Arabidopsis thaliana: one gene and its partners. The protein of the gene in region 2 purifies or fractionates together with the protein of the main gene of each other region. This does not show direct contact. Each region holds a gene or a part of one and is shown on either strand. Other genes may lie near its edges. The genes, in order: AT1G78830, AT1G33600, AT1G78820 and scpl35.

Evidence for each region.
Region 1: the proteins of AT1G33600 (region 2) and AT1G78830 fractionate together in Arabidopsis thaliana (co-fractionation; one large-scale study listed by BioGRID). This does not show direct contact.
Region 3: the proteins of AT1G33600 (region 2) and AT1G78820 fractionate together in Arabidopsis thaliana (co-fractionation; one large-scale study listed by BioGRID). This does not show direct contact.
Region 4: the proteins of AT1G33600 (region 2) and scpl35 fractionate together in Arabidopsis thaliana (co-fractionation; one large-scale study listed by BioGRID). This does not show direct contact.

Annotation. Positions count from the first base shown.
Region 1 is NC_003070.9:29,636,318-29,640,623, forward strand, and holds AT1G78830 (Curculin-like (mannose-binding) lectin family protein), read right to left. Parts: upstream 2,457-4,306; 5' UTR 2,192-2,456; coding exon 824-2,191; 3' UTR 501-823; downstream 1-500. Other genes in the region: AT1G78840 (F-box/RNI-like/FBD-like domains-containing protein), read right to left, coding at 2,973-3,275, 3,368-3,508, 3,593-4,135, 4,168-4,306.
Region 2 is NC_003070.9:12,178,875-12,185,076, reverse strand, and holds AT1G33600 (Leucine-rich repeat (LRR) family protein), read right to left. Parts: upstream 4,302-6,202; coding exon 2,865-4,301; 3' UTR 2,855-2,864; exon of another isoform or gene 2,477-2,854; intron 878-2,476; exon of another isoform or gene 870-877; 3' UTR 549-869; downstream 1-548. Other genes in the region: AT1G33590 (Leucine-rich repeat (LRR) family protein), read right to left, coding at 5,856-6,202.
Region 3 is NC_003070.9:29,633,545-29,637,497, forward strand, and holds AT1G78820 (D-mannose binding lectin protein with Apple-like carbohydrate-binding domain-containing protein), read right to left. Parts: upstream 2,388-3,953; 5' UTR 2,225-2,387; coding exon 857-2,224; 3' UTR 552-856; downstream 1-551. Other genes in the region: AT1G78830 (Curculin-like (mannose-binding) lectin family protein), read right to left, coding at 3,597-3,953.
Region 4 is NC_003076.8:2,655,249-2,661,945, reverse strand, and holds scpl35 (serine carboxypeptidase-like 35), read right to left. Parts: upstream 4,893-6,697; 5' UTR 4,711-4,892; coding exon 4,437-4,710; intron 2,512-4,436; coding exon 2,404-2,511; intron 2,303-2,403; coding exon 2,114-2,302; intron 1,985-2,113; coding exon 1,896-1,984; intron 1,787-1,895; coding exon 1,493-1,786; intron 1,390-1,492; coding exon 1,253-1,389; intron 1,123-1,252; coding exon 1,030-1,122; intron 933-1,029; coding exon 674-932; 3' UTR 509-673; downstream 1-508. Other genes in the region: AT5G08270 (C5orf35), read right to left, coding at 155-199; AT5G08250 (Cytochrome P450 superfamily protein), read left to right, coding at 6,165-6,697. UniProt on the Arabidopsis thaliana protein: Probable carboxypeptidase.

The DNA of each region.
Region 1 (4,306 bases), about 17 Mb from region 2:
AAGTACCCACACTTCCCAAACTAGCTATATAAATTTCTCGATTTTACCGTCTTGTATGTAAATATACTTCATAAAGTAATTTTATATATTCTAAAGTCTAGACTACACATTCCACCTTTATCTGACCCGCCACTAGACTGTCGTATATATATATACAAATTTCCGAGATAATGCTAACAGATATAAAAACATCTCCGCCAGCTTTAACAGTAAAAAAATTAAAACTCACAATAATCATCTTGTGATGATCGAATCTTTTATGTAAGTTCAGACATCCAAAACAGTACTGTGAGTCAGATTTTGATGGTTGATGGATGCATAGCTGCTGGGCAAGCTTTCACTTTTTATCCCATGTAATGCTAAAAAGTAAAAAGTAAGACCACAAAACTTGTAAAAAATATGTACGAAGGGAAGTGGACCACACGGTTTGTCCGATTAAGATAGAATTATTGGGCTATGACAAAGCCTAAAGGCCCAATGAGTTGGAGAAGTGACAAAATTTTTGCTGTTCTTTTGACAGTATGAGTCCCAACGACCATCTACAAACCTCAGTAGTCAATTGAATTAAGAACCAAGTGAGCGGTATTCCAAGTGGAGGACCAGTGGACTACAAAACTCTTGTCAGAGGCAACAAAATAATGATAATGCTTCACATGGTATTTTGATTCTCAAAGGTACTATATATATATAGTAAATACATCTGATGGCTTTTTTTTAAGGTAATACAATATATTCAACGGTGGATCATTACAAGCACACCGATTATTCATTAAATCTCTAAGAATTCAAAAAGAATTCGGTAAATAACTTTCCCAAAAAAACACTAATATTTGATGTAAGCAACAGAAGAAGTGTTGGCATCTTTGATAAGTGTACCAAGCAGAGGAGCAAGCAAACATTTCTTGTCTTTCTCTTTGTAGAAGTAACCCAAACACTTGCAATCACGATCGCACTTGGCCTTGCAATCGTTCACAGAAGTTGGGCCTTGTCCATCATTAACATAAGGCCCAGTAAAATGCTCAACACCGACTATCTTATAATAATTGACAGTTTTACCCTTGACTCCGCTGCAAAACTGCGTCGTTTTAGGTGGTGCGCATTTATCACTCCATCCGAGTAATCCTTTTGGTGTAGGACACGCGTTGCACATCCCACGATCGCAGTAACCGTAATCGCCGCAAAACGACGGCAAGCCACATTGACGGACGAAGTAAGTGGAGAAGAATGAGAAACTCTCTTCCCATTTGAGATACGTAGCTGCTGGGAAATACGAGTAAGCCTTGAGACTCCCGTCAGATCCGAGTCTTAGATACGAAATCGTTCCGTTGTAATTGATTTTGTTCAGATTTAAAGTTCCTCCTCCGCTTCCGATTGGTCTGACTTGGAGTAACCGGCGGTTATTACCCGGGTTCGTAGCGGGTTGTGGTGCGGGTTCTAAGAGAAGCTCGTAAGCTGACGGCTCCGTTAAATTATCGAATTCTCTTGTAACGGCGAAAGTGACGGTGCCGCGGAAATCGTGATCCGGCCATCCGCCGTAAACTAACGGCGTACCGGTTTTGTTAACGTACATGGTTAAACCTTTTTTGTCCAGCACCATGCTGTACGGACCATCTGAGCCGTTCGAATCAGATGTACGGCTAACGAGTTTGTTGACTCCGTTAACTTTTAACGATTGGCCGGTGAGGAGTGTATCGGTGGGGTGATCGAAACTCTGCCATACGAATTTGCCGTTTTTGTCGTGTAGGACGATGTTTCCGTTGGGTAAGATTTGGAATCCGGTGACGCCTTTGTTAGCTGTGTTAGTCTGCCATTTGACTCGTCCGTCAGCTTCAGCGAGGACGAGGTTGCCGTTACGGCCGAGTGAGAGTGTAGCGTTTTCTCCGACGGGGTTGTTGCGATTCGCGTCCCATATCCAACGCATGGTAGACTCGTCACGCCTGAGTCCGACTCGGAGAGCTAAGATGTAGGCGCTAGGGGTAGTGTTGTAAAACAAGAGCTGGAATGGTGATGTGAAGAAGCTCTGGTTTGATGATTCGATGAATCTGTAACTTGCGTCGTACTCAGTGATGTATTCACCGAATTCTCCTTCGTTGACGACTCTGAATTGTTTCTCCGGAGGGACTTGAGCTATAACCACCGAAACAGTGGCAATGGCAAGTGCCAAGGTTACTAAGATAGCAAATCGAGACATGATTTTGTTTTCTTGTGTGAGTAAAGGAGTGAGATGATTATGTAGAAGATGTATCTTGTGTTGTGGTATATATAAGTTGTTTAGCTTTGTAATATTGGCCGTATTCGTTTGAAAAGTCAAAGTTGCTAATTGCGACTTGACTAATTAAAGAAGAAGAGATCAAGCAAATTGGTGCTGTACAATGGAGCCGATGGCGACTTATGATTTGGATAAGGTTTGTCTAGTGCAGATTATCGAATATTCGTCATAACTATTTTGCTTTCTGAATATCATATAATTTATTTTCTTGTCGAAAGAAAATGATTAATCCTTTTATGCATTTATCTTAATACTATCATTTTCTAGAAGACTTGAAACCGGATTTTCTGCCTATGAGAGGATAATGAGGATTGGTAAAATATCACAGCACCGTCTTGGTAAAATAGACTTGAAGCTGTGAGTTTAGTTAAGTTTTGAAGAAAAAATGTAGTTGTGGATTTTTCTTAGATGCCACTGCGAGGGGCCAAGATTTGGCTTTTTCATTTAAAAGTTTAAGTACACGTATCTATGGGTAGCAGAGATCCATGTATCTTATTCTTTACATGTGCACCAAACGAAACCCAAACAAATAATGGCTGACAAAGATATCTACGATATCAATAATATTGCGGCATCTTGAATTTACCAATCACATAAATCTTAAAATTTTTAAAAATTACGATGTCTAACCGGAACAAGTGTGGAAACTAAAAACACCTAAGAAGCATAACGTTTACACTTGTGCTTGATCCTCACAACAAGTTCAAAAAAACGACGAATGAAGAAAGACTTGACAAGCAGAAGAAAGCTTTGGAAACGCAAGGATTTGCTTGCTAAGTTGAAACCTGTGTTCTTCTGCCCATAAAATGAATCGAAGAGTAAGCTCCTTGACAACTGCTGCATTCCCCAGGATGTATTTGACAAGCTCGGTTTCGACCTGATTCTCAACCGAGCTGGATATCATAGCTGTGCTGTATATCGTAACAAACTTGAGCGATATTAGCAGACACTTAGGCATAGTTGATCTTGAGATATCCAATATATCTAGACGATGATCGTGAACCCACTACATAATATCAAGGACAAGAAACGAAAAACGTAATGAGAATGTATAGTTTAGTTAAGTAATTCAAGAGTTACTTATAAAAATAAAATTACCAACTCTAGAGATTTTAGGTTTGGACAGCTTGCGAGAAACGTTGGTAACAACTTTAAACAAGAGGAGTCCATCGAAACTTCCAAATGGGTTAAGTTAGAGAACTGAGGCAATGGTTCCGAGCTAGAGTAAGCATACATAGCCTAGCAAAAACCAAGAAGAATAAATTAGTAATAAGTTTTCGAGACAGATTAATTCAGGATGAATAGTTACAAAAATATACATACCTCTAGACAACAGTAATTGAGTGCAAGATTTGTGACATTTGATATCCAAGCAATAAATGTACGCAATGTTTTCATCGTCAATGAGTTAATAGGATTAAACTCTCCTTTAGAGATACTAATATCCACTTTGAGCGGAGAACATACACTATTCAGCACAAGGTCTTTAAACCGGTGGATTTGAAGATTCAGAGACTTAAGCCTAGGAGCATCAATCACTAGCCCAATTTTTGTTAAATCTTTGTTCCAATCTAAATCTCTTTTCCAAATACGCATTCTCAAGCTATATAGTGTCTGAGACCGCACTCGTATAACTTCCACATTCCAAACTTTTTCAATGTACAAAACTTGAAGAACTGGGGAGGATGAGATAAGCCTCTCTAGAGCCGCTTCGCTCGAAAACCAAACCGATAGTAAATGCATAGTCTCAAGACGAGGTAGAGAAACGGAGTCAAAACTATCAATGCCTACCTCGACCAGCTTCAAGTGTACCAATGTTTCACACATAGAAATGCTTCCCGGAAGTTTTATGGGACAATAATTGTTCTTATGCAAGAACCAAATATTTTAGCAACAACCACAAGATGCTGAACTCCACGGGTAACCACTGAGTCGACCCACTTGTTGAAAAGGGATCCTTCAGTCTCATACTTCCTGCCGTCAAATTCCAACTTCAATTGGTATATGAGTGATTTCTTATCCAAATCTAGAAACCTG
Region 2 (6,202 bases):
AAGATATTTTCTAGTATTTTCAAATATTTTGATATTTGTAAATATATTTTCCAAGTATATTTTGGTATTTTGTATATGTTTGGTTATTCGATCTAAAAATAACTAATATTTTGGATATATAATTGGATATTTTTGAGTATCCAAAATATTTTGGTTTGGTTCGGGTTTGATTATAATCTTTTTCGGTTCTAGAATTTTGGACCTATTTGAATATTTTACAATTGGTCTGAGTTCAGTTTGGTTCTTTTTTCTTCGGTTCCAGTTCAATTCTTTCGGTTCACTTATTATGTCCAGACTTAATCCAGACGATGGACTGACTTGACTAATTATATCCGATAAAATCAGACGGGATTTTTGGATCGAGGGACCGGTTCAAGAAATTCTGGTCACGCGGGATCAGAAAATCCAGGTAAGTAAATTTAATTCTTATACTCATTAATTTGACTAACTGTTATGTGTATTTTGTAAAGTTTGGGTATTTAAAAAAAAGTAGAAAATTTGGATAATTTCTGTTAATTTTGTAAAAGTTAAATACATAAACGGAAATACGAGTATCTTTTCCGAAGTCCTCGCCGTTCACTTTAGTAGTAACATTTCGCGTATATGGAAAACAATGTCGGAGGGTTGAAATACTACTTTCACTAATACAATAATACGTATTGATTATCGTTGTTACATGTAGTGGAGCTTCTTGATGTCTTAAGTTAATGGTGTGTTTTTGTTGATTGAGAGAAGCATTCGTGGTAGCTATTAATAGAAGGAAAGTCATCGACTCTAGCGCTGACGATTTTGACCAAGTCATATGCATGTGGTGGCATTACGTGGTGGTATAATCCGTGATCGTTGTTGAGTTTAGCATCTCTGGATCCCTTGAAAGAGACAGTGTCTTTCATCAGATTATTATATAAATGGTTTAACATATCTTCTTTTTCTAGAATTTTGTTGTTACATTGTATTAAAACTCATAAGTCATATAGTTTTTTTCCACTGTCTTATTAGTATTTCTTTCTATCAAATTTAAATAAAATTTTATTTTTATTATGGAATTTAGTTAGGAAAAATAACCATTTTGATTTTTCTCTAACATCTATATATACATTTTTGCAGCCATTTTGTGAAATAAATCCTGGAGTTCGAACTTATTTACAATACCTGCCATTGCCTTTTAATTATTGGTTTTCTTTTGGCAATAAATTGATTAACAAACAAAAAATATTCCAAATATATTATAATCCCATATATCACGCAAATTTCTCCAAAATTTAAACTAGATTTCGGAAACTATTTAAAACAAAAAATATTTGACAAACCAAAATACAATTGCAATCCCTTAAAATGAGCAAAACGCACCTAAATACATTTCCTATCAGTTCACTAAATCTTATTTCTCCAATATTTGAACTAGATTTCGACAACCATTTAAAAAAAAAATTTGTTTGACAAACTAAAATATAATTGCAATCCCGTAAAATATTTATTTAAATTAGCGGTGTATCGCAGATTTTTTTAACGGGACGGGTTTGGTGGAACGAGTTTGGAAGGATATTACTTAATAACAATTGTAAACTATAAAATGTAAATATTTTATAGATAAATATAATTTGCAGACTCTTATATATACTAATTTTAAAAACAAATTGTCTCCGCGGTGTACCGCGGGTTATAATCTAGTTATGTACGTTATTTTCGTCTTACTTTTTTCAACACGTTATTTTAATCTGTCCAACAAAATGTTCGTTATTGACCTTAAATTAGAAGTGAAAGATTTGACTGTTTAGATTTAGAACGATCTAAGTGCAATGATCTAGACAGTGAAAATAAGTTGGCCTCAAGATGGTCAGGTAAACATTATGCTTTATTTTCTTAGCATAATCTAACATTAGTAGCTTTATCTATTTGCCTATTGTAAGAACTAAGAAAGTGAAAATTTAGATTGTTCTCGAAAATCGATTTGTTCAGTTTTCAGTTTATGGTAGTGACATTTAAGATGCATGCTACCTCTCTTATGAATGCCGTAGCGTTCATCGAGATCCATTTGTTTTTATAGCTTTGAATAATAAGGCAAATCTCAGTGTGTCTACAGTTTTAATATTTCATATTATTACACAAATAACTCTAGTTTTCTTGTCTACAAAGTCACCAGTTTCATGATTCTAATGGAACATTTATTCCCAAGATCTTCATTACTTCTTGGATGTAGGGTAGGTACCGAGAGTGAATGTATCAAACTATTGGTTTATATGTGATATTATTTTGTCTGTCTAGATTTTAGATATTTAGCTCACCAATGATTAGACTGCCCACAAAGTAATCAAATTAATGTTGGAAATTGAGAATAACCGATCAATAATTTGTTAAAACATCAACATGATTTATATTTACATGGCTATGTACTGTATTATCAAATTTCTTAAATATTATAAGGTTTTTTTTAAACAAAAAAATCACAAATTATGGTAAGTGGTCATAATATTATTTTTTCTAAACATGTTTTACTTTTTCTTTTAACTGACAAAAGTTCATTATTCTGTAACTTCTGTTAATGTTCTGTTAGTTAGTGTTCTGTTCTGTTATCTTTTAGGGCTGTACAAACAAAAAATGTTAATTTGGAGATCTAGAGTGTTAGTTTAATTAATTTGGAGGTTTATAATGCTAGTGAAAATATCTTGAGGTTTAAAGTGCTGCTCAGTGTTAGGTTTAAAATGTGATTTTCCCCTTAAATATTTTGTTATTTTCTATTCCAGTAAAAAAAATAAAAATCATGTCCATGTATGGCGTAGCCGAGTAGGCTAATTTTGTTATTACAAATCTTATTCAGAGCTATGTGTTACAGTACTCAACTACAAAATTGTACCTTTTTGCCGCTAAATTTTACAAGGAGAAAGCGGAGAGCCGCAGAGACAGTCATTACCGACAAACGCGCTGGCCGGGAATTTAGTCACTGGAAGCTTTCCACAAAGATGGTTATGACTCAAGTTCAATTTTTGCAGTTTAGCCACGGTCATTGGTACCTTCCCAAATATCAAATTCCTTGATAGATCGAGGCTTTCTAGTCTCTCACTTAAATTCAGCTTCCCCATGTCGAATCGAAGTTTGTTCCCTGACGCTTGAAACTCATATAGGTTATGCGCTAGGTTGAAGAACCATGTTAGACTCCCTGAGATCTCGTTTTCTGACAGATCGATGTAAAAGTAAATATTGGGTCTCACTGGCTTCCAATTGTCTAAGCTCATATTGATCCCGCATTTTACCAGCTTCAACGAGTACATGGACGGCGACGAGGTCACCCATTTCGGTATCGTTTTGAGGTGAAATTGGTTGTATGAAAGATCTAGAGTGGCAAGGCCATCAACGTTCTTCATGGCAGGGAGTGGACCAGTTAGAAAATTGTGGGAGAGATTGAGATGGAAAAGTTTAGGCATATTGGCTAAACTCTTCGGAACAACCCCAGAGAACCTATTTCTAGAAAGATCCAATGAGTCTAGTACCTTGAAGTTTGATAAAAAGGTCGGGATTGTCCCAGAGAGATTATTCTGGCTTAGATCGAGGTAATTGAGAATTGGTTTGAGTGATGCAATGGACGGAGGAAGATTTCCAGAGAATTTGTTGCGGGAGAGGGTTAGAGATTGGAGCTTCTGCATGGATTTGAAAATATCCGGTATGGTTTCAGAGAGACGATTGTTGCCAAAGTTGAGTGACAACAAGATCTTGAGATTAGCAAGACCTAAAGGTATAGTTCCGGTTAAGAGATTATCTCCAAGATTGAGCAGATATAACCGGGTTAAATTGGAAATGGAACTCGGGATCGGACCAGTAAACAGGTTTCCGTCGAGACTTAGTTCTCCTAACTCGCTTAGCGCACCAATGTTAGCTGGAAGAGGACCGGAGAGACGGCTATTCGTGAAGTAGACTTGTTTTACATTTGGTAATTGGAAAAGGAATTGAGGAAAAGAACCAGTGATGTTTCGAAGATTGGTGAAGTAAATACCAACAAGGTGTTGGAGTTTGGCCAATGACGGCGAGATAGTGCCAGAAAGAAAGCTTCCAGTAACATCAGATTGTCCGTTGATAGTGAGTCCGGTGACGCGGTTGGTGAGACAACCGACACCCTTCCATGAACAGCAGTCAGTACCTTTCTTCCAAGAGCTGAGAATACCCGTAGGATCTTGAGTTATACCCGATTTAAAAGCTAAAAGACCCGCCTCGTCATCAGGATGACACGTGGCAGCTTCAATGGGACTTAAACACCGGAGAAAGATAACGAATGCAAAGATGAAGAGAGGGAAGCAACAAGAGTTCATGGTTGAGTTGTGTTGATTGAAAGACACAATTGGTCGCTATTAATAGAAGGAAAACGTTGAATCAAGAGCTGCCGATTTTGACCAATTCATGTTCATGTGGTGGCAATAAGTTGTGGTAATATCCGTAATCGTTGTCGAATTTATTATCTCTCAACCCCTCGAAAGAGACAGTTTCTTTCATCAGATTTTTATAATATTTTGATGATTATAGATAAAGGATTTATGTATCTTATTTTTCTAGAACTTTGTTGTCAAATTACAATTGTTTTCTATCATGTTTAAATAATATTTTGGGCTATTATGAAACTTAGTTTGGAAAGAAATTTCATTTATGTTTTCTCAAAATGTACGTTATTTTTGAAAAAAAAAAAATATTTATTAACATGTTATTTTTGTCTAACAATATGTACATTATTGACCACAAAATAAAAGTCAAATATATCTAAGTACAATGATCCAGATTGTGGACTAAGTTGGCCTCGAGATGGGCCGATAGATTCATGCCTTAATTTTCTTAGCGTAATCCAACATTAACATAAGTAGCTTTATCTATTTGTTTATCGTAAGAAATTATAGTGGAATCTTAGCTTGTTTTGGAAGAACCAATTACTCAATTTTCGTTTATGGTGGTGAAGTTTTAAGATGCTGCATGCATTAGTCTTGTTTTGGAAGAACCAATTACTCAAACTATCTTTTTTTGTATAGTTTTTGAATAATTTTTCTAGGTTGGTTTACTATGTCTTTGTCTCATTGAATATGGATGCATTAGTCTAATCGAACTTTAGTGTTTTAGACAAAAAAAAAAACAATACTAAGTTGAAACCTACTTCAGAGATGGTCTAATTCCTCAATGCAGACGCTATATGTCCTGTGGATGACCTTGTGTTATGTGTATGTAAAGAGAAAAAAGAGGTTTGATACTAGTATATATCGATTACTTGGTTTGTTGTTTGGTATGTGTTATTTGTGATCAAATAAATTTTGTAGTGATGAAGTTATATGCATCTATCTAGTAAGGACTCCTCTTGTTTTCATCACTAGGTTTTTGTTAACCAATTATAGAACACTGAAGAATAATAAATTACGCATAGTTCTAAATAAGATATCACTATAACTTTCTTTCTTTTTTTGTATAGAGCGAGTTAAATTCCAGTAAACATAGATTATTTACTGCATCATTTGTTGCGACTATTCTGAATTGAGAACAGATTAGCCAAGAGTTGCATACTACATAATCAGTTTAATATATAAGCAAAAGTTACATAAATTGGAGCATGTTGTATCAGAATACTACTCTGTTTTTCCTTCTATTTTTTAAAATCATTTTTCTATCATGTTAAAGTAATATTTTAGCTGCTATATAAAAAATGCATAATAGTTGAGAACTTAAATACTACTTTGAGTACTTTCACTAATACATATTGTTAGAATGAAGCTTCTTCATAACATAAAACTACTTTATTTGTTGTAATCTTTTTAATACAAATTTTATTTGGAGCTAAACTTTATTGGTCACGGTAAATATCCAACTACCAGTTGTAGCTTTCTTGCCGCTTAAGCTTTACAAGGAGAAAGAGGAGAGCCGCAAAGACAGTCATTACCCACAAACGCACTGGCCGGGAACTTTGTTACTGGAAGCTTTCCACAAAGATGGTTGTGACTCACGTTCAATGTCTTTAGTCCAGCCACCATTGCCGGCACCTTCCCAAATACCAAGTTCCTTGATATATCTAAAGTTGTCAGCGTCTTTGCAAACGTTAGCTTCCCCATATCGAATCGTAGTTTGTTACCCGCTGCCTTGAACTCCACTAGATACTCTGTTTGGTTCAAGAACCTTGCTGGACTCCCTGTGATCTCGTTTTCCGACAGATCGATGAAATCATAGTAGAATGTTTGCGCTG
Region 3 (3,953 bases), about 17 Mb from region 2:
ATGTGGATAAATCGATAATTAATAGGCCCATAAATAAAGCCCAATGGACCTTAAATTTTGTAAATATGATTCTCTCAAATAGAACCAGACAAATAAATCTATGGAGGTCCCAATCCCAAAGATCCGCGATGGACGCTTGCATTTACTTATTTAAAGTTTTGTCATCTACAGAATTCTAATGTTATTGGAGTGTATTAAATATTTGTTGTCAAAATTAAATAAGATTAAGGATATTCCTTTTTGGCTGCCACTGAGGCACTGACCAATCGTTACTAGAAAATTTCTAATAAACTAGGTGAATATCCATTATTCAAGGGTTGGTTGAATAGTTTTTTCTTTCTAAAATGATAGCATAACTTTTGTGGTTAAAAGAAGTATTCCCTTTGTTTATATTTAAAACAACAATTACCTACCTACTCTCCTAGGATATGATTCTTCCTAATTTTTTATAAATTTGAGTTTTTAATTTTCCTGCAGATACTCATTCAACCAAGAAAAGAAAAATCTCAGTAATCAGTCGTATGCATAGAAAAAATGGTCCCACGGCATAATCATTAACCAACAGAAAATTATGAAATGTGCAACAATATCGAGTTGTCTCATTGTTATTTATACAAAACAAAAGCATTAATTGAATATTGTATAAAGGACGCATTATAATGATCGACTATTAATTTCAATTTTGATAATCTGAAGAACATCAATATCATCCATTTTTATTTTGATAATATCATACTTGACTAGGACTGAGCATAATACGCGAGTCTACGAAAACAAAAACGGTGAAGCATTATAACAACACCAATTATTCATTAAATCTATGAGAATTCACGTTGGTTTCGGTTTATAAATCTCGCTAATATTTGATGTAAGCAACGGAAGAAGTGTTGGCATCTTTGATAAGTGTACCAAGAAGAGGAGCAAGCAAACATTTCTTGTCCTTCTCCTTGTAGAAGTAACCCAAACACTTGCAATCACGATCGCACTTAGCCTTGCAATCGTTCACAGAAGTTGGGCCTTGTCCATCATTAACATACGGCCCAGTAAAATGCTCAACACCGACTATCTTGTAATAATTGACAGCTTTACCCTTGCCTCCGCTGCAAAACTGCGTCGTTTTAGGTGGAGCGCATTTATCACTCCAAGCTAACAGACCTTTCGGTGTAGGGCACCCGACGCACATTCCTCGATCGCAGTAACCGTAATCGCCGCAAAACGTCGGCAAACCGCATTGACGGACGAAGTAATTGGAGAAGAAAGCGAAAGTCTCTTCCCATTCGAGATACGTCGCGGCAGGGAAATACGAGAAGGCCTTGAGGCTACCGTCGGATCCAAGTCTCAGATACGATATCGTTCCATTGTAGTTGATTTTGTTTAAGTTTAAAGTTCCTCCTCCGCTTCCGATTGGTCTAACTTGGAGTAACCGGCGGTTATTACCCGGGTTCGTAGCGGGTTGTGGTGCGGGTTCTAAGAGAAGCTCGTAAGCTGACGGCTCCGTTAAATTATCGAACTCTCTTGTAACGGCGAACGTGACGGTACCGCGGAAGTCGTGATCCGTCCATCCCCCGTAAACTAACGGCGTACCGGTTTTGTTAACGTACATGGTTAAGCCTTTGTTGTCCAACACCATGCTGTACGGACCATCGGAGCCGTTCATATCAGATGTACGGCTAACGAGTTTGTTAACTCCGTTAACTTTTAGGGATTGGCCGACGAGGAGTGTATCGGTGGGATGATCGAAACTCTGCCAAACGAATTTTCCATGTTTGTCGTGTAGCACCATGTTTCCATTGGGCAAGATTTGGAATCCGGTGACGCCTTTGTTGGCTGTGTTAGTCTGCCACTTGACTTGGCCGTTTAACTCAGCGAGCACAAGGTTTCCGTTTCGGCCGAATGAGAGTGTGGAGTTGTCTCCGACGGGGTTGTTGCGATTGGCGTCCCAGATCCAACGCGTGAAACTCATGTCACGCCTCGTTCCGACTCGGAGAGCTAACACGTAGGCGCTAGGAGTTGTATTGTAAAACATGAGCTGGAAAGGAATTGTGAAGAAATTCTGATTCGGTGAGTTGAGGAATCGGTAACTCGCGTCGTACTCGGTGATGTATGGGGCGTAGCCGGGTTCGTTGAGCACTCTGAATTGTTTCTCGGGAGGGACTTGGGCCATGACAACCGAAACAGTTGAAATGGCAAGTGCCGTGATTAGTAAGTAATCAAACCTAAGCATGGTTGTGTTCTTTATGTTTACTGAGATTGAGTAGTAGAGTGAGATGATTTTCTATATCCTTTAGGTGTATATATAAGATCTTAACTTTGGGTCGTTGGGCTGTATTCGTTTGAAAGTCCTAAGTTTTTTTTTTTTTTTTTTTTGAATGGTCCTAAGCTGCAAATCGTGTCTTCGTTATACAGATCAACCAATGGCTCATTTATGATTTGGATAAGATATGTCTACTGAGAATTTTCGAAAATTATCGTATATACAAAAGTTGTGAGTAAAACACTAATTATATATATTGTTGTTAATCCGTTTTTATTACACAAATTTTGTATAACTAATCTCATGAAAATTGTTCAGACAAAGTTGACCATCGTTTTTGACAAAAGAAAATTTAGATTCTCCAATCGGATTCATACTTTAAACACTTGTTTTTAAATATAGAATGTACTCGTTTAAATACTTTAAACTGTAAAAATATATCTAAAAATCCTTTCAAGATTGCAATCTACCCGATCACCATTTTGATCTCTACTCAAATTAGTGAATATTTGGATAACTAAGTACCCACACTTCCCAAACTAGCTATATAAATTTCTCGATTTTACCGTCTTGTATGTAAATATACTTCATAAAGTAATTTTATATATTCTAAAGTCTAGACTACACATTCCACCTTTATCTGACCCGCCACTAGACTGTCGTATATATATATACAAATTTCCGAGATAATGCTAACAGATATAAAAACATCTCCGCCAGCTTTAACAGTAAAAAAATTAAAACTCACAATAATCATCTTGTGATGATCGAATCTTTTATGTAAGTTCAGACATCCAAAACAGTACTGTGAGTCAGATTTTGATGGTTGATGGATGCATAGCTGCTGGGCAAGCTTTCACTTTTTATCCCATGTAATGCTAAAAAGTAAAAAGTAAGACCACAAAACTTGTAAAAAATATGTACGAAGGGAAGTGGACCACACGGTTTGTCCGATTAAGATAGAATTATTGGGCTATGACAAAGCCTAAAGGCCCAATGAGTTGGAGAAGTGACAAAATTTTTGCTGTTCTTTTGACAGTATGAGTCCCAACGACCATCTACAAACCTCAGTAGTCAATTGAATTAAGAACCAAGTGAGCGGTATTCCAAGTGGAGGACCAGTGGACTACAAAACTCTTGTCAGAGGCAACAAAATAATGATAATGCTTCACATGGTATTTTGATTCTCAAAGGTACTATATATATATAGTAAATACATCTGATGGCTTTTTTTTAAGGTAATACAATATATTCAACGGTGGATCATTACAAGCACACCGATTATTCATTAAATCTCTAAGAATTCAAAAAGAATTCGGTAAATAACTTTCCCAAAAAAACACTAATATTTGATGTAAGCAACAGAAGAAGTGTTGGCATCTTTGATAAGTGTACCAAGCAGAGGAGCAAGCAAACATTTCTTGTCTTTCTCTTTGTAGAAGTAACCCAAACACTTGCAATCACGATCGCACTTGGCCTTGCAATCGTTCACAGAAGTTGGGCCTTGTCCATCATTAACATAAGGCCCAGTAAAATGCTCAACACCGACTATCTTATAATAATTGACAGTTTTACCCTTGACTCCGCTGCAAAACTGCGTCGTTTTAGGTGGTGCGCATTTATCACTCCATCCGAGTAATCCTTTTGGTGTAGGACACGCGTTGCACATCCCACGATCGCAGTAACCGTAATCGCCGCA
Region 4 (6,697 bases), on a different chromosome or scaffold from region 2:
GCTACAAAATATAGTCACAGGAATCATATTACAGTGAAGACTAAATCCTTTGAAAAGCCTCGAACTTTCTTCATACCCAACATCAAAAAACACGTACCAGAGAGGAAGTTTCAAAAATAAGTCAGATTAGAAGATAAGAACTTCATATATTCACCTGCTGAAATTTTCCGAAAAGAAACATCATTTTTGCAAACGCCATTCTTTTTTCTCCTCACGTTGAAACGACGGGCAGAGAAGAAGATGAATCGCAGGTGCTTCAGTTGAAAGATCTCTTTCGGTGATTGATTCCAAAAAAACGAACGCTACTGCCTCAGCTCCATGACTGGGTTTAATTTGTGTTAATGGGCCTTAATGGCCCTCTAAATTTATAATGGGCCTTAAGGGCCGTCTCCCCCTAATTTATTTCATTCATATTAAAATTAATTTGAAAATTTTCATTGAGTTCCAAAATTAATGAAGTAGACTACTGATTTGTTGATTATTGAAAATTGAAATACTGGAAATTATTAAACAACGAAAAACGTGCGTAGAAAGGTAAAAGCCTTATTATATAACTAAAAGTTGAAGAATCTTTATTCATCAATTGAAATTCATAAAATCAATTGGGAGAGTGCTAAACGAAGGTTCCAAAACAACAACAACAACTTGCCATCATGACTTGACGGTACTGATATCAGAACCGTTTTGAAGGCAAGGGGACAGAAGAAATGAAGTGAGAGAATAATGTGAGAGATTGCGCCGGAGCCAAGGCCGGAACCTGGTGACCGGCTCCTCTCACCGTGACAAAATTTAGTCCACCGGCATAAGTCTCAACCCATCCAGCTACTTGACTCTTGTGGAACCATGACCTCCACGGTGACTCGACCTTAAGTCCCATCTTTTTTATGCTATAACGTGTAGATGTTACCGGAACTCTCCCATCCGTATCTCCACTATAGCCAACATTGAACCAGTGAACATTAAACTAATTGACAATATATATGAATTTTTCACGTAATTTTTAAAACAGTTAAAGAAAGATATAGATACCTATAGATCCAGATACGGAGGCCACCCGTCAAAAGCTTTTGTATGATGGGAATCATGGTGGATGGAGCATCACTCCATCTCTTTATTACTCCGCTGAATCACACCCACAAGATCATATATATATATACTTTGTTCATTAGAAACATGACATTAAACTTAACATACAAAGTCTCTAGCTAGCTATTAATTTTAGTTAGTACCACGTAACGTAAGGAGGACTAACCTGCAAGGAGAGTACGGATAAGGAAGGTTGGTGACGTTCGCATGGAGTGCAACCTGCACATCTTTCCGGTTAAAGTAATTCTCGGCATAACTTTCAGTGCATGGATCGTACCCGGCCGGAAACTTGTCCCACAAATCCTAAACCATCAAAAGAGAAGAATTGGTAAGAAAAAGTAAGAAGAGAGATTATGGTAATTACATTATGTTACAATGATACTATATTGTATTGTAGATTACGTACGTCAAAAGTAAGGAGACGAGGAGACACGACGATTTTAGGTTTTCTTGGAGAAGATGACAACAAAGAGGAGAGGCAAACGGGAGTGTAGATACTGTATATATCGATATCATTGTAAGCATCCATGAACCCTTTGAAATTGTTGTAGCATTGTTCGGTCTTGTTGGTGGTATCTTCCTCAAAACTGCACGAGCCATGGATGCTGGTGTGGACCTCGTCCGATATTATAGCGTGGCTCCATGCGTAGTCCACTAGTCCTGCCATGTCTGTTGCCTCATTGATCACCGCGTTCCCTATCTGCAACATCAAACGAATACCTTTTATGTTTACTTATAGCACAAGAAACGTTGCTTCCTCGTTTCGCAAGTAACCTTACTAGTAGTATACATATATATAGAGTGCATACCATGAATCCCTTGAGATTAATGCTAGAGTCTTTCGTAACCTTCTTGTTCCTGTCGTAAATTACCTCCGCGAGCTGAGGAACATAGTGACCTGAGAAAAGAAGATCAAAAGCATGTGATTCAATCTTTGTTTTATATAATATTAATATACAAGATTAATTCTTTTATATTAGGTGATATAATTCATAAATCAAGAATTAAAATCGGATAAAGCACTTACCGGCGTAACTCTCGCCAGAGATGTAGAACTCGCTGGATCGGAACTCGGGGAATTTCATGAACCAGTTGATCAGGAAAGCAAGAGAGTCCGATGCAGTAACTTCATCTCCAAGCTTTTGAAGATCCATTGAGTTATTGGTATACGAGAACCCAACCCCAACCGGCGCTTCCAAGAACAACATATTGGCCTCTGCACAAACATTTTTTTTAATGTAACCACGGTTAATATTAGTATACATGTTAGCTAAAGAATTCAAATGTTTCTGATAGTATGGTAATAATTCATTTTACCTTTGTTCCAAGAGAAATGATTGTAGGTAAGTTTGCCACCGTTGTCGTGAACAAGAAAAGGGCCTAGTTCTTGTGCAGCTCCATAGGCTATTGATGAGCAACCCGGTCCTGCATATTTTGGATTTTAGTTAAACTGATGAAAATAATTTAAGAGTTTCACCAAATATGTAATAATACAATTCACTAAAGAAAATTGCTATTTTCAATTCCATCGCTAGATTTGTCAAGAAAATCCAAAACTAAACAACTAAATTTGTCGAGAAAAAATAAAATTAATGAGACTAGCTAGCTAGACGTCAGTATTTTGTCCCGAGTTGTCTATCAAGATTCAAATATCATTTTCGTATACAGAAATTAAATAACTAAAGATTTTGCTATTGCTCTTGATTACATTGGATTCGTGTGTACCCTTCAATCACGCAAATCCTATAAAGGTAATACCTCATTATTAACAAATTTCAATCTTTCTGTTCAAACTAGACATGTACACAACTCCACATTATTATTAGACATAGCTTTTTGTTTATTTCTAAGTGTATAATTGAATATTCAACATCTTATCCGATTTCTAGCCCCAATAAAAAAGACTAGGTTGATATTTCTCGTATCCCTAAATATCCTAATATTGGAATGAACCGTGTGGGAAAAAAGACAAACCGTATAAAGTAAATTCGTTAAATTGAATGTACAACTACCGAGAGAAAAAGAAGAAACAGACAAAAGATCTTTACTCACTCTAGAAACAAGATTTGGACATTGAATGTTACACAAAAAGGACACTGATTGAATGATACAAGTCCAATATCTGTCAGAGAGCCGGACCATATACGACTTCGTTGATATTTTTTCCAAATATGTTGTTGGGTTATAGTATAGTGTTTTATTTCACTGAATCTTCACGAAAAAATATGATGTATTTAAACAGGTTAATTTTAATTTTTGTGAATAACTTTTGTTCACTTAATTAGATCGAAGCTCATTTTCAAATACAACTTGTTTTAAGCTATGGTTTTGAGATTTCACGTTAAGAAAACGAGGACTGGACTATATTTGTCCCGAAGAGGCAAGAACCTACTCGTTCCACCGTATACAGACTACAGATTGTTGAAGTGCGTTCCACAAAACGAAATATTATTAAAGTAGGCAATTAAAATTTGTCGGCATTCCCAACTGTATCAGATTTGTTATCACTTCTCCATCAAGCAATAGTAAGGAACAAAAATGTTGAATAGTATCAGTGTATCACTTAATGGTGTTTCTGGCTATTTTTATCAAGCCATACACGGCATCTATAAGTTACAGATTATTAAGAATAGCGATATATAACTGTACAAACAATAGACTACTTTAAGTTTTGGCTATTTGATAGACTTGTAATTTTTGGAAAATTTAAAACAAAAACAACTGCATCGAAACGACCCTTTACTATCTCGTTGCGATACAATTACAGTAAAATTTTATTGTTACTGAAACGAAAGGAACTGCTTGGCAAGTTACAAGGCAGGGTAAGGAGACAGACGATGGAGTTTGGTAGGACAATGTACACAACTTGATGTTTTCTAAGAGTTAGCTATATAAATAATTAAAATTTTAGTCCAAATTCAATTATGTATCCAAGAAAATACAACTGCCGAAAACATTTCTCTATGTTTAGTGTTTTTTCTTTTTCTTTTTCGTGCAAGTTTTATCTATTATTTTCCCAACATCACGGCCTGCAGGCACAGAGTTTTGTGGTCAATACGTGATGGTGTGATTAGACATATGTATTAACCTAATTACCATGGCCCACGAGGCACGAGCTTGAGAGTTCATTAATCTTTCATTACACTGATTTTTTTATTGCAAACATAATCATCACATCATCCGTTTCAAAAAAGGTGCTATCATTTTAAAATTGGTAAACATATTTGTAAAACCGCAGAAACAATGAAGTTTCGAATGAAAATTCCAATTGAGAACAATGATAAGTTTGTATTACTACTTCAAATAAAATATACTTTATGTAAATGAGCGAGAGAGGAAGAGAAACTGACCTCCATTGAGCCAAAGGACGAGAGGACGACGAGAAGAGTTTTGTTGAGCTTCGAAGAACCAATAGAAAAGTGCCTTTTGCTTCTGTTCAGGCCCCAGATTCACGTAACCGGCGTAGTGTTTGAAGTTAACCGGTGGTTGGCCGGGCAAACCGGTTACAAGGTCATCTTCCTTCCTCCCAGAGGATGAAATTGTTACCTTCTTCTCCGGTTTCCTACCACAGGCTATCGCCGGTAACACCAGAATGCACAGTAGCCAAAGTGCGTTCTTCTTCATCGCCAAAACTCTTTCTCGTCTCTTTTGTTTCTTTTGTTCTTTTCAATTATTTATCGAAATGAAGAGCAGATGAGAAAACGCCCCCACTTCTTCTACTTTATACTGTCTTTTTTTATATTAAAAAAAACTTTAAAAGTCTTTTATTTTTCATGAGATTTTTTTTTTGATACTCACGTGAAAATGTTATAACAATAAACACATTTCATAATCATTTCCTTGTAATGTGCCTCCACGGTCTCCGATAACATGGTTGGTTCACTACCAATTTTCTCACCTTTTACAGAAAGATGGAATTGAATTTCAACGCTTGAGATGTCATCATCGGAGACTGAACCACATGGCTATGGAGATGGAGCCATCGGCAAATTAAATGCTTTCTTCTTTATTTTTCTTAATTCAGAATTTCATCTCCCAAAACAAGGTTTTATAAACCATATAATCAAAGTTGAATTCAACACACAAATTGCTCGTACTGTTTAGAAATCAATTAAAATTCATTAAATTACATGTGTAGTACTACCGTAGAGCTTTAAAACAACAGCATTGTCATATAAACAAAGCTTATGTTTTATGTTGATCTCAATGATAATTTCCAAAGAAAGTGGTTTATTCGCAATTGTCTCGGGAATAATTTATTGATGCTATAGTCACCTAGAAGAGGCCAGAGAAATTGGCGGCTTAATGAGAATCATTTATTGATGCTATAGTCACCTAGAAGAGGCCAGAGGGCCTGTAAGGCCCAAAATACATTAATAATGAGGTTAATGAAATTTTATATATATCAAAGGCCCGATACTTTATTGATAGGCCCATATGTTTTCTAAGCCCAAATTGTTCGAAAACAATTATTCACCAGATATATGCAGATAACCTAAATTCAAACAACAACGGCTTCACCGCCAGGTTTAAAATAGTACAGTAGTATCCAAAAAAATTCTGTTTATTTGAATTACTCACTATTAATATTCTTCCAATTCCAATTTCCACACGTATAAATTAAACAAGTTGTTTGACAAAATAAAATAAAGTGTATAACAAATAAACAAGAACTTAGGTGATCCGTCACTACCCACCTGTCAATTTCTCTTTTATCAACAATCCTCAAGTCTAAAACCCTAATTCTAATTTTCCTAATTTTCTAGTTAATCCCCTCCAAAAGATTCGTCCTTTCAAAAGACCAAAACGAAAACATAGCAAAACACGAGAATAAAGAGCCACACAAATTTAAAAGACCGTTAGAAAAGAGCAACGAACTTTTTTTAGCTCACCAAATCAAACCCAATTTCACATTGAGAGCCAAACACGAAACTTATGCGTCTTAAATCCTTCTTCCCTCATTTCACATTCTTCACCTACTAAATTAACTAACAACTTCATTATTTCTTATCTCTCTTTCTCTTTCTCTCTGCAAAAAAATTATACACACTCTGTTTCTTTGTTCCTTCTTTGTCACTATGAATCTTAGTTTTTCTTCTTATAATCTCACGGCTACTGCCGTGTCCTCTTCTTGTTTCGGAAGCGACGAACTTCTGGTTTCAAGGAGGCTGTTTTCCCTGAGAGATGTTCAGATTCTTGAGCTCTTTATTGCCTTTTTCGTGTTTGCGACAATACATTCCTTGCGCCAGAAGAAACACCAAGGGATGCCCGTTTGGCCGTTGGTTGGCATGCTTCCTTCGTTGATATCCGCGGTACGAAGCAACATATACGAATGGCTGTCTGATGTTCTTATCAGCCAAAACGGGACATTCCGGTTTAGAGGTCCTTGGTTTAGCACCCTCAACTGCGTTGTTACCTGCGACCCAAGAAACGTTGAGCATCTTCTCAAGACCCGTTTCTCTATCTACCCAAAGGGTTCTTACTTCCGTGAGACCATGCAAGATCTACTCGGAGACGGGATTTTCAACACCGATGACGGAACGTGGCAACGACAAAGGAAAGCAGCAAGTGTCGAATTCCATTCGGCTAAATTCAGACAATTAACCAGTCA